Coturnix japonica: one gene and its partner. The protein of the gene in region 2 purifies or fractionates together with the protein of the main gene of each other region. This does not show direct contact. Links are inferred from orthologs where the notes say so. Each region holds a gene or a part of one and is shown on either strand. Other genes may lie near its edges.

Region 1 (3,993 bases), on a different chromosome or scaffold from region 2:
TAGACAATTTGCAAGATAAAACAATTTAACCTTAACTGGACATGAAACGCTTGGGAAATTGTTCTAGTACATCAATGAAAACTATGCTCGGGTGTTGGCAACATTTAAAAGAAAGCGTTTCAAAGGTGAAAACTTGCTATAGCAAATACCCCGTATTATCAAGCAGCCAAACCGTGCCTCCAAGTCAGCACATCCTGACCAAAGGCAGTTGGTACAAAACAACCACAGAAGCGTTTCCTCCTGCTCAGATGGGCACTCACTGCCATCCTATCAGCTTGGTGCTTGAATTCACTAAGACAGCGATTTAGAAATGCAAGAACTGCAGCTTAACCAAAGCACACAGTACCTCACACAGAGACATCAGTTTCAATGCTTGGATCTCACTCACAGAAACATGACAGAAGTAAGAAGGTCACCACCAACTTCCAGCCCTTGGGATCCGATAAAACATTCACTTTAATCACATAACCTTCACAAAGCAAGCTTTTCCCACAGCGCGCTTCAAAGTCACTGTTAAATTTGATTAAATAGTTTCTGTATTTGAAAGTTCATTCACATTTGATGCCACGAGTGAGGTTTTGGCTCTGGATGTCAGCATTAATGCACCAAGAACAAAAAACTCATTTATGACAACTCTTCTGAACCTCAGCTGGCCAAAACCACCCCGTGCAGTAACAGCACATCACTGCAGCTCTGCATGAACCTCATAGCATGGCAAGAAAGAAAAACCCAAACATGGGACGAACTGAAAGAAAATATACTTTCAGCTTTCATGAAAATCAAACAAACAAAAAACCCCAAAACTAAACATCTCGGGATCCTGGAAATCAGAACCAGCCAAACTTAGTTCGTTATATATAAGCAACTCACCTCTATCTGGAAATGTGCCTTCCACTCTTATTACATGTAAAATCTCAGCTGGAAAATTACAGAAACGTGTTTTCCTGCCTCTTCATTTGCTACGTATGACAGCATTTTGTCTGAAGCCAGTTGCTGCTGTTTGCCAATGGTTTTGTCCATAGCCTCTTCCCCGCGGGGTTTCACACGAGAAGAGTGGAGACTCTTACAAAGAAATATATCAAATTAGCAGGCAACTTGGAGGGGAGGGGGGGATGTAAATATATGAAATGTCTGAATTTGAATAAACTGAATACACATTACAAACTTCATTATATTTTTACAAAGCCCTTTACACATAGGAGCCCATGGAAGAGGCAAAGTCTAGAAGGTAAATAGTTGGTTCAAACAATTCTGTTAACAACAAAACAACAGTAGAATAACACCGACCCCAAACCAAGATCTGCTACACCTCAATTCCTTTTGCGTACTTAAGGGCAGATTCAGCAAAATATCACATGCCCAACGTGCACCAACTTACCTGAGAAACGAAGGTGTGCTGCAGTAGTTTGCAGAAGGTATCGTGAATGTTGTGAAATTAAATCAGCTTTTAGAAGCAAGAGAAGGAAGGCCAAGGTGGGATTTCTTTCCCCCCGAGTAATTACCACCACAGCTAATTAGCTCTTTAGGGAACAACAATGAAGATAATCCTTACTTTCAGCCTACAATCCTTGTGTGCTCACAGGTCTCCACACTCTCGGGAACAAGAGCCAAACCGTGCATCAACAGCAGCTTCCACCCAGGAAAGCACACAGCTCTGCCGGGCTTCCCTGCGGCTCACGTTACACACTTCCTCAACGCGATCCCTGGGCAGAAGTAACAAGCACAGATTACTGCCTCCATCTGTTAAGTCCCACGGATCTTTTTAATGACTGCATTGTTTCGGTCCCCATTTAAAGTCCCCGATTAGGATCTCCCTTAACTCTTTGATTCCGTTCCGTGCAAGTTTTAAACCGGACCGTTACAAACAATCGCAACCGACTAAAAACTGAACGGCAACTTGTCGGACACGCAAAAACTGCGTTCAAATAAACAGAAAATCGCCCCTCAGCTTTAGAGCCAGGGGGAAAAAAGCTGTCCCACGAGGCAGAGCTTCACAGCGGGGCGCTCCATAGAGCTGCTGCTCCGGGACACAGCGCAGCAACACAGAGCCGGGGAGCTCGCGCAGGGAACCGAGGCACAACGGAACGGCCCCGGAGCGCCGAGCTCGGGCTGGAAGGGGACGGTCGGGGCTTTAACTGGGCAGGAAGTCAATGGGAACAGCGCTTCCAACCAGCACAGCGCCGTGGATCGCTCCGGGAAGGACCGACAGCACAGCACGGCACAGCGCAGCACAAAGGGGTCGGGGCCGCCCCACGTGCGGGCTGTCAGGGCCGCCCCATCCCGGCCCGGCCCAGGGGCAGCGGAGCCGAACCCGAACCCGGCCGGACCGAGCAGCTGGCGGAGCAGCGGCCCCCCCCTCCTCCTCGTCCTCCTCCGTTCCCGCATCCCGTCGCTACTCACTCACTCACCGTGTCCTTTGTGTTCTCCATCAGGCCCCGTGGTGCAGCTCACTCCCCGCCGCCTCCTCCGCCCCCTCCCCTCGGCTCGGCCCCCTCCGCCTCCCCCCGTTCGGGGCCGGGTCCGGAGGCGGCCGCCAAGTTCAGCCGGTCCCGGATCGAACCGAGCCCCGCTCCGTGCGCCGGGACATCAACAACACCAACATCGCTCTGCGCAGCCGCGGAGCCCGGCCCCCCGCGCGCCCTCATTGGGCTCCGCGCCGCTCGGGGCTCCTCGCTCGCCGTACCCACCTCGGGGGGAAGCCATGGACGGACCGCGGGGCTCGGAGGGGCGGGACGGGCCGGACGGGGACGGCAGCTCCGCCAAGAGCCGGTTCGTTGTTATTAACGGACGGAGCGACGGGCCGGGCCGGCACCGGGCAGCGCTGAGGGAACGAGAGGTCACGTGAGTCACTGCCCCCCCCCGCGAGGAATGGAGAGCGCCAGGTCACGTGACACGCGGGGTGGGAGGAAGGAAATAAGGCGAAGAAAGGAGGTCACGTGACGGCCCTCGCGGCCTGGGGAAGCTCCCTGATCACGTGGTGTGGGCCCGGCCAATCCGGAGAGGGGAGGGTGTGAGTGCGACCGCGTGGGTGCTCAACGGCACTTCCGGTTCCGGTGTCCCCGTGGGGCGATGCGGGCGGTGCCGCGTGTTGTGTGTGCGGAGAGACCGGAACGGACGGGACGGAGCAAGAAGATGAAGATGAAGATGAAGGTGGTGAAGCGGGTCCGGCTGCAACACAAGGACACGGCGGTGCAGGACGAAGCGTCACACCGAGCCCGGCACTTACGGGCCATCTCCAGCACTACGGCCGCTGAACGGGAGCTGGAGGAGCTGGTGTTCGGTGACAGCATCGGGGCGGACGAGGACGAGCTGCTGCACAGGCTGGGCCGCAACGAGGTACCGGGCGGGTACCGGGCATGGGGGCGGCATCCGATACACGGCGGGACGGGGCAGGTTGTTGGCCCGCCCCGCTGACAGCAGCCGGCCCGGTTTGTTGCAGCTGAACGTCGCTCAAAGCGGGACCCGGCCGGAGCGATCCAGGGAGTCGGAATCGGAGGATGAAGGAACAGCGGGATCCCACGTTAAACGGCCCGTGTGGGTGGATGAGGAGGATGAAGCCGAGGAAAGGTGCGATCACACGGCGGGTGTACAGTGACCATCGGCTTCCATTGAGCTGAGCTGAGCTGTGCATTTGTTGTGTTTTTTTGCTCTAGGATCGACATGACCCACCGGTACAGGAGGGAGCTGATGAAAAGCGACGCTGACAAGATACTGACGAAGAAAAAGCTGAAAGCGAGGCTTGAAGAACAGTGAGTTCATTGAGGTTTTTGTAGTGAGCTGTGCTAAGAGATGTACAGATAGACTTGGCGTTCTCAGCCCCTGTTTGTCTTTTTCCTGCTGTAAACTGCTTCAGCCCTGGAGCTGTTCTTGCCCTGGAAGGTGCTTCTCAGTTAGTGCTTCTTATAGTGACTATGGGATCTTTAAATCCAGAGTAACACCGTTATTTGACTTTTCTTTATCAACTTAATGCTTGTTTACTTCTAAGAAGTTATT
Region 2 (4,282 bases):
CTACTTTTGTTTAATTATGAGCTCCCTCTTACAGGAGATTAGAAAACCCACACGCTTTCCTACTCGGGTTTAATTCAGGATAAATGATAAACACTCACTAACATAAACATACAACATACCAGAAGCCTAATCCCTTCACAGCAGGAACCTCCGTGTGAGCGAGAAGAGCAGCTGATTTGTGAAACGCTTCGAGCACATGTAAATCTTTAAGATACTTAGACGGAAATAATACAGGAATTTTCATCAAGATCAGATCAAAACAAAAGTCCAATGAAGATGCTCACACCCACACACCAGATGTGACAACCAGCGGTGAGCTCCAACACCCTGCCTGAACCACAGGGACTCGGCACCGCTTTAATTCCTCGTCCAAATAACTTCAGAAATAGTATTAGAAATGAGCGATAACAATGAATCACCACTAACTTCAGGCTGACGTAGCAAATAATAGTACTACTTGAAAGATAATAAGAATGAAATCACACAAAAAAAAAAAATAAAAGCACTCTGGTTCGTGTCTTTCGATGCAAAAAAACTCAATCATGAACAAAGCAAATCATACTCCTCTACTAGAGAAATGAGGCTGTAAGGTACGAGGCAGATGCATCAAGCAGTTTTAAGTCTTGGAAATGGGTAAATATGGTTATAGCCAGTTCAGTCAGTACTGGAAGTCACCCCTTGGCTCTGGGACCACTGAGCTGTATGTGTGTGTGAGTGAACAGCAGCCACCCCAACAGCCGTAACCCCAGCAGAGGGCTGAGCATACAAACAAATAATCACAATGGCCTCGGTTGAAAATGACCACGAAACTCATCTCATTTCAACCCCCTGCTGTGTGCAGGGTCACCAACCAGCAGCCCAGGCTGCCCAGAGCCACATCCAGCCTGGCCTTGAATGCCTGCAGGGATGGGGCATCCACAGCCTCCTTGGGCAACCTGTGAACAGTGCGTCACCACCCTCTGGGGGAAAAACTTCCTAAGATTCAACCTAAACCTCCCCTGTCTCAGTTTCAAACCATTCCCTGAGACTCCTGAGTAGTGGAGATGTCAGAAATGAACAGGTGAGCAGCTCCCTCCCCACAGAAGTCCCTGTGAATAACAGCAACATTTGCTATGAAAAAAAAAAAAACAAAAAAAAAAACCAATAAAAAGAGCTGGCTGGAGTGAATTCATATATATTTATTCATATAATATGTATATTCATATATATTTAACTACAGCCATCTATACCCAGAAAAGCCTTACATGCCACTGTCACAGAAATCTACATTTAAAACCGCTTGTGGGGCACTGGGCTGAGACCCACCCCATAAACAGAGCTGTCAGCACACAGCAGTACCCCAAACTCTCCATCAGTGGCACAGATGAACGCTGTGCCCTGATAACGTGTCTCACTCTGCACCTCCTTGCTGCTTCTCTGACTGCTTCATATCGAGCCTCCTGCAGAACATACCCTGTACAGCCACACTGCAGGGCACACAGAATCACAGCATGGCTGGGTTGGAAGGGATCTCAAGGATCGTGAAGCTCCAGCCCCTCTACCACAGGCAGGGCCACCAACATCCACATTGATACCAGCCCAGGCTGCCCAGGGCCCCATCCAACCTGGCCTTGAACAGCTCCAGGGATGGACGGGGCATCCACAGCCTCTCTGGGCAGCTGTTCCAGCACCTCACCACTCTCAGAGTAAAGAACTGACATCCCTGACATCCCACCTCAATCTTCCATACCTCCCATTCTTACAGCCCGGTAGGATTTAGCACAAGTTTCCTTACAGAAAAGAGACAAAAACTTCAGAATCACCCAAAGCTAAAAATCCATACACGAGCACCAGCCTGAACTTCACCATCACTTCGGCAGCCCGTCAGCTGAAGCGCAAACAAGTTTATTCCAAGCAGCGTTTACCAAAACAACGGAGTCATTTCAAACACCGGAGGCTCAAGCCGGGCAACCCGAACCGCCAGCCCCGCTATGCTGCCCCCCAGCCCCGCTGTGCTGCTCTCCGATCACGCCGCCGCCTGTCACAGCGCTGCCCGAGCCGCAGCCCGCCCCAAGGTTAGCGGCCTTAGCACGCTACGCCGGCTGCGCCCGCCCGCTCATTCACAGACGCGCCTTACGCCTTCCTCCTCCTTACGCTAACGTAAAGGCCTCCCCCCCGCTAATCAAAACACTCGCGAGTCGGGACGCAAAGAAGATGGCGGAGCAGGGCCCGCTTACGGCGTCGGACAGCAGTTTACGCTGCGCTCTTTGCGCAGGGCCCCGTCCAAGCCGTGCAGCGCCGCGGTGGGGAGCGTGCGTAGTGCGCTTGGTGAATGCCGATGGCCTATTTCCCGTGAGGGGAGGGGGGGGGGGGGGTCTGATAAACAATGGTGCCCCCCCTGCGCGGCTCCCTTACCGATTCCTCCTCTTTCTCCATCCCCGTGGGCATCTGCGGCACAGCCCGGTTGATGGAGACGCAGTCGTTGAGGTCGGGCATGTCCTTGCCGCGGTAGATGGGCAGCGGTTTGGCGGCGTCTAGCGCCCGGGCTCGGAAGGAGAGTTTGCTCATTGTCTCCCCCTCACAATAACACCCCGGGGCCGGGCGGGCGGGGGGGGCCCTCAGTGCGGCCGCGCCGCCGCCTCCCAGCCGCTCCCGCACCCGGCCCGCACCACCATGGAGGGTCCCGCCGCCCCGGAACAGCTCTCCGCGGGGCCGCCCGTAGCTCACAGCGCACGCCCCGCAGCCCTAGATCCGCGCCGGGCTCGCTCGATCCGCTCCCTGCGCCATGGCAAACATGGCGGACATTAACCAAAGCGGCCAGCGATCCCGGCAGCCACCGCGAGAACCCGGAGCGGGGGGGGGACGGAACGGAGGGAGGGAGGGAGGCGGGAGGAGGAGGAGGAGGAGGGTGCGCTGCGCGCGCAGCCAGGGGCGGGGCTGAGGGACGTGGAGCGGGATGGAGGGAGGTGGGTGAGGTAGTTCTATGGGGGTCGGCGTACGGGGGGATTCGCTCCTCAGAGCGTGCATTGCCGGCTGGACGCTCGAACCGGAGGAGTAGCGCTGAGGAGGCGGGAAGACAGTCAGTCAGTCAGTTAGTTAGTTAGTTAGTTAAAGTCAGTCAGTCAGTCAGTTAGTCAGCTAGTTGGTTAGTCAGTCAGATAGTCAGTCAGTCAGTCAGTCACAGTCAGTCAGTTAGTCAGTTAGTTAGTTAGTTAGTCAGTCAGTCAGATAGTCAGTCAGTCATTCAGTCAGTCAGTCAGTCAGTCAGATAGTCAGTCAGTCAGTCAGTCAGATAGTCAGTCAGTCAGTCAGTCAGATAGTCAGTCAGTCAGTCAGTCAGTCAGTTAGCCAGTCAGTCAGTCAGTTAGTCACAGTCAGTCAGTCAGTCAGTCATTCACTCCCCGTGCCCGGCAGCAGCTCTGCTCCACAGGAGAAGCCCGCAGGGAGTTGTGCAGGTGCCTGATTTTACCTTTAAAGGTGTTTTGTTTCAGTTTTAACATAAGAAAACTGCCGAGCTGGTGCTGCCCAGGCTGTGGTTGCTCAGGGTCAGAGCAGTGATTGAGTGACACTTGTCAGGATCTGCCTTAGCAAAAGCTGCTGTCAGTGAACCTGAGCGTGTACCCTCCTCTTACTTAGGGATTAAAACACGTGTCTAAATCGCTTCTGAATGCCAACAAATCTATAAGGCACCGCTGCACACTGATTTATTTAAACACAGCTTCAATTGGAGGCAATCTGGAGTAGTGCATTCACTCATGCCCTTCTGCTCTAAAAAATGTTTGTGTTCATAGACAATTCTTGCCTTGCATTGGAACTAACACCCTTTTACACAGAAGCACATCGTAAAGCAGTTCAGAGCTAAATACCAGCCTTGCTTGTAGTAGCCCAAATTGTGTGTGAGATGCATTCAGCAATGCTCCTCTTTACATGACTGTTTCAAATTGGTGTAGTTTTTAGCTCAGTAGTTACAGGAAGCAGCCAAACTTCTAACCCTCAAAGTTGGTTTGTTATCAGGAAAGATATTCACAACTGGTTGGTAGAAGCAGATGGTTGCCATTTTCCAAAGAGTAATTGCAACGCACTTGTGCAACAGCTTTAGTTTCTCAGTCTTACTGTGCAGCAACAATCAGGAGATTGTAAGTGAAATTAATCCTGGGCTGGAACAGCACTTCTTGTGTGTCTCCTTTGGAACAATCAGAGCCCAACAGCTGCATCTGAGAAACTGAAAGCTGTCATAAGGATGGCAGTATGAACTGTTCCATAGGAATGAAGGTGGTAGCAAAGAGAGCTCTGTAGCTCTCGG

The links. Proteins that work in one complex are often made in the same cells at the same time.
Region 1: the proteins of EPC2 (region 2) and MBTD1 purify together in Homo sapiens (affinity purification with mass spectrometry; 3 studies listed by BioGRID and IntAct, with this or other methods). This does not show direct contact. The link is inferred for Coturnix japonica from reciprocal best matches to the Homo sapiens genes EPC2 and MBTD1.

What each region holds. Positions count from the first base shown.
Region 1 is NC_029533.1:8,711,350-8,715,342, reverse strand, and holds the start of MBTD1 (MBT domain-containing protein 1), read right to left. Parts: upstream 2,801-3,993; 5' UTR 2,688-2,800; intron 2,523-2,687; exon of another isoform or gene 2,409-2,522; intron 1,704-2,408; 5' UTR 1,553-1,703; intron 1,063-1,552; 5' UTR 871-1,062; intron 1-870. Other genes in the region: UTP18 (U3 small nucleolar RNA-associated protein 18 homolog), read left to right, coding at 3,070-3,336, 3,440-3,567, 3,654-3,749. UniProt on the Homo sapiens protein: Chromatin reader component of the NuA4 histone acetyltransferase complex, a multiprotein complex involved in transcriptional activation of select genes principally by acetylation of nucleosomal histones H4 and H2A.
Region 2 is NC_029522.1:31,185,385-31,189,666, forward strand, and holds the start of EPC2 (enhancer of polycomb homolog 2), read right to left. Parts: upstream 2,806-4,282; 5' UTR 2,548-2,805; coding exon 2,395-2,547; intron 1-2,394. UniProt on the Homo sapiens protein: May play a role in transcription or DNA repair.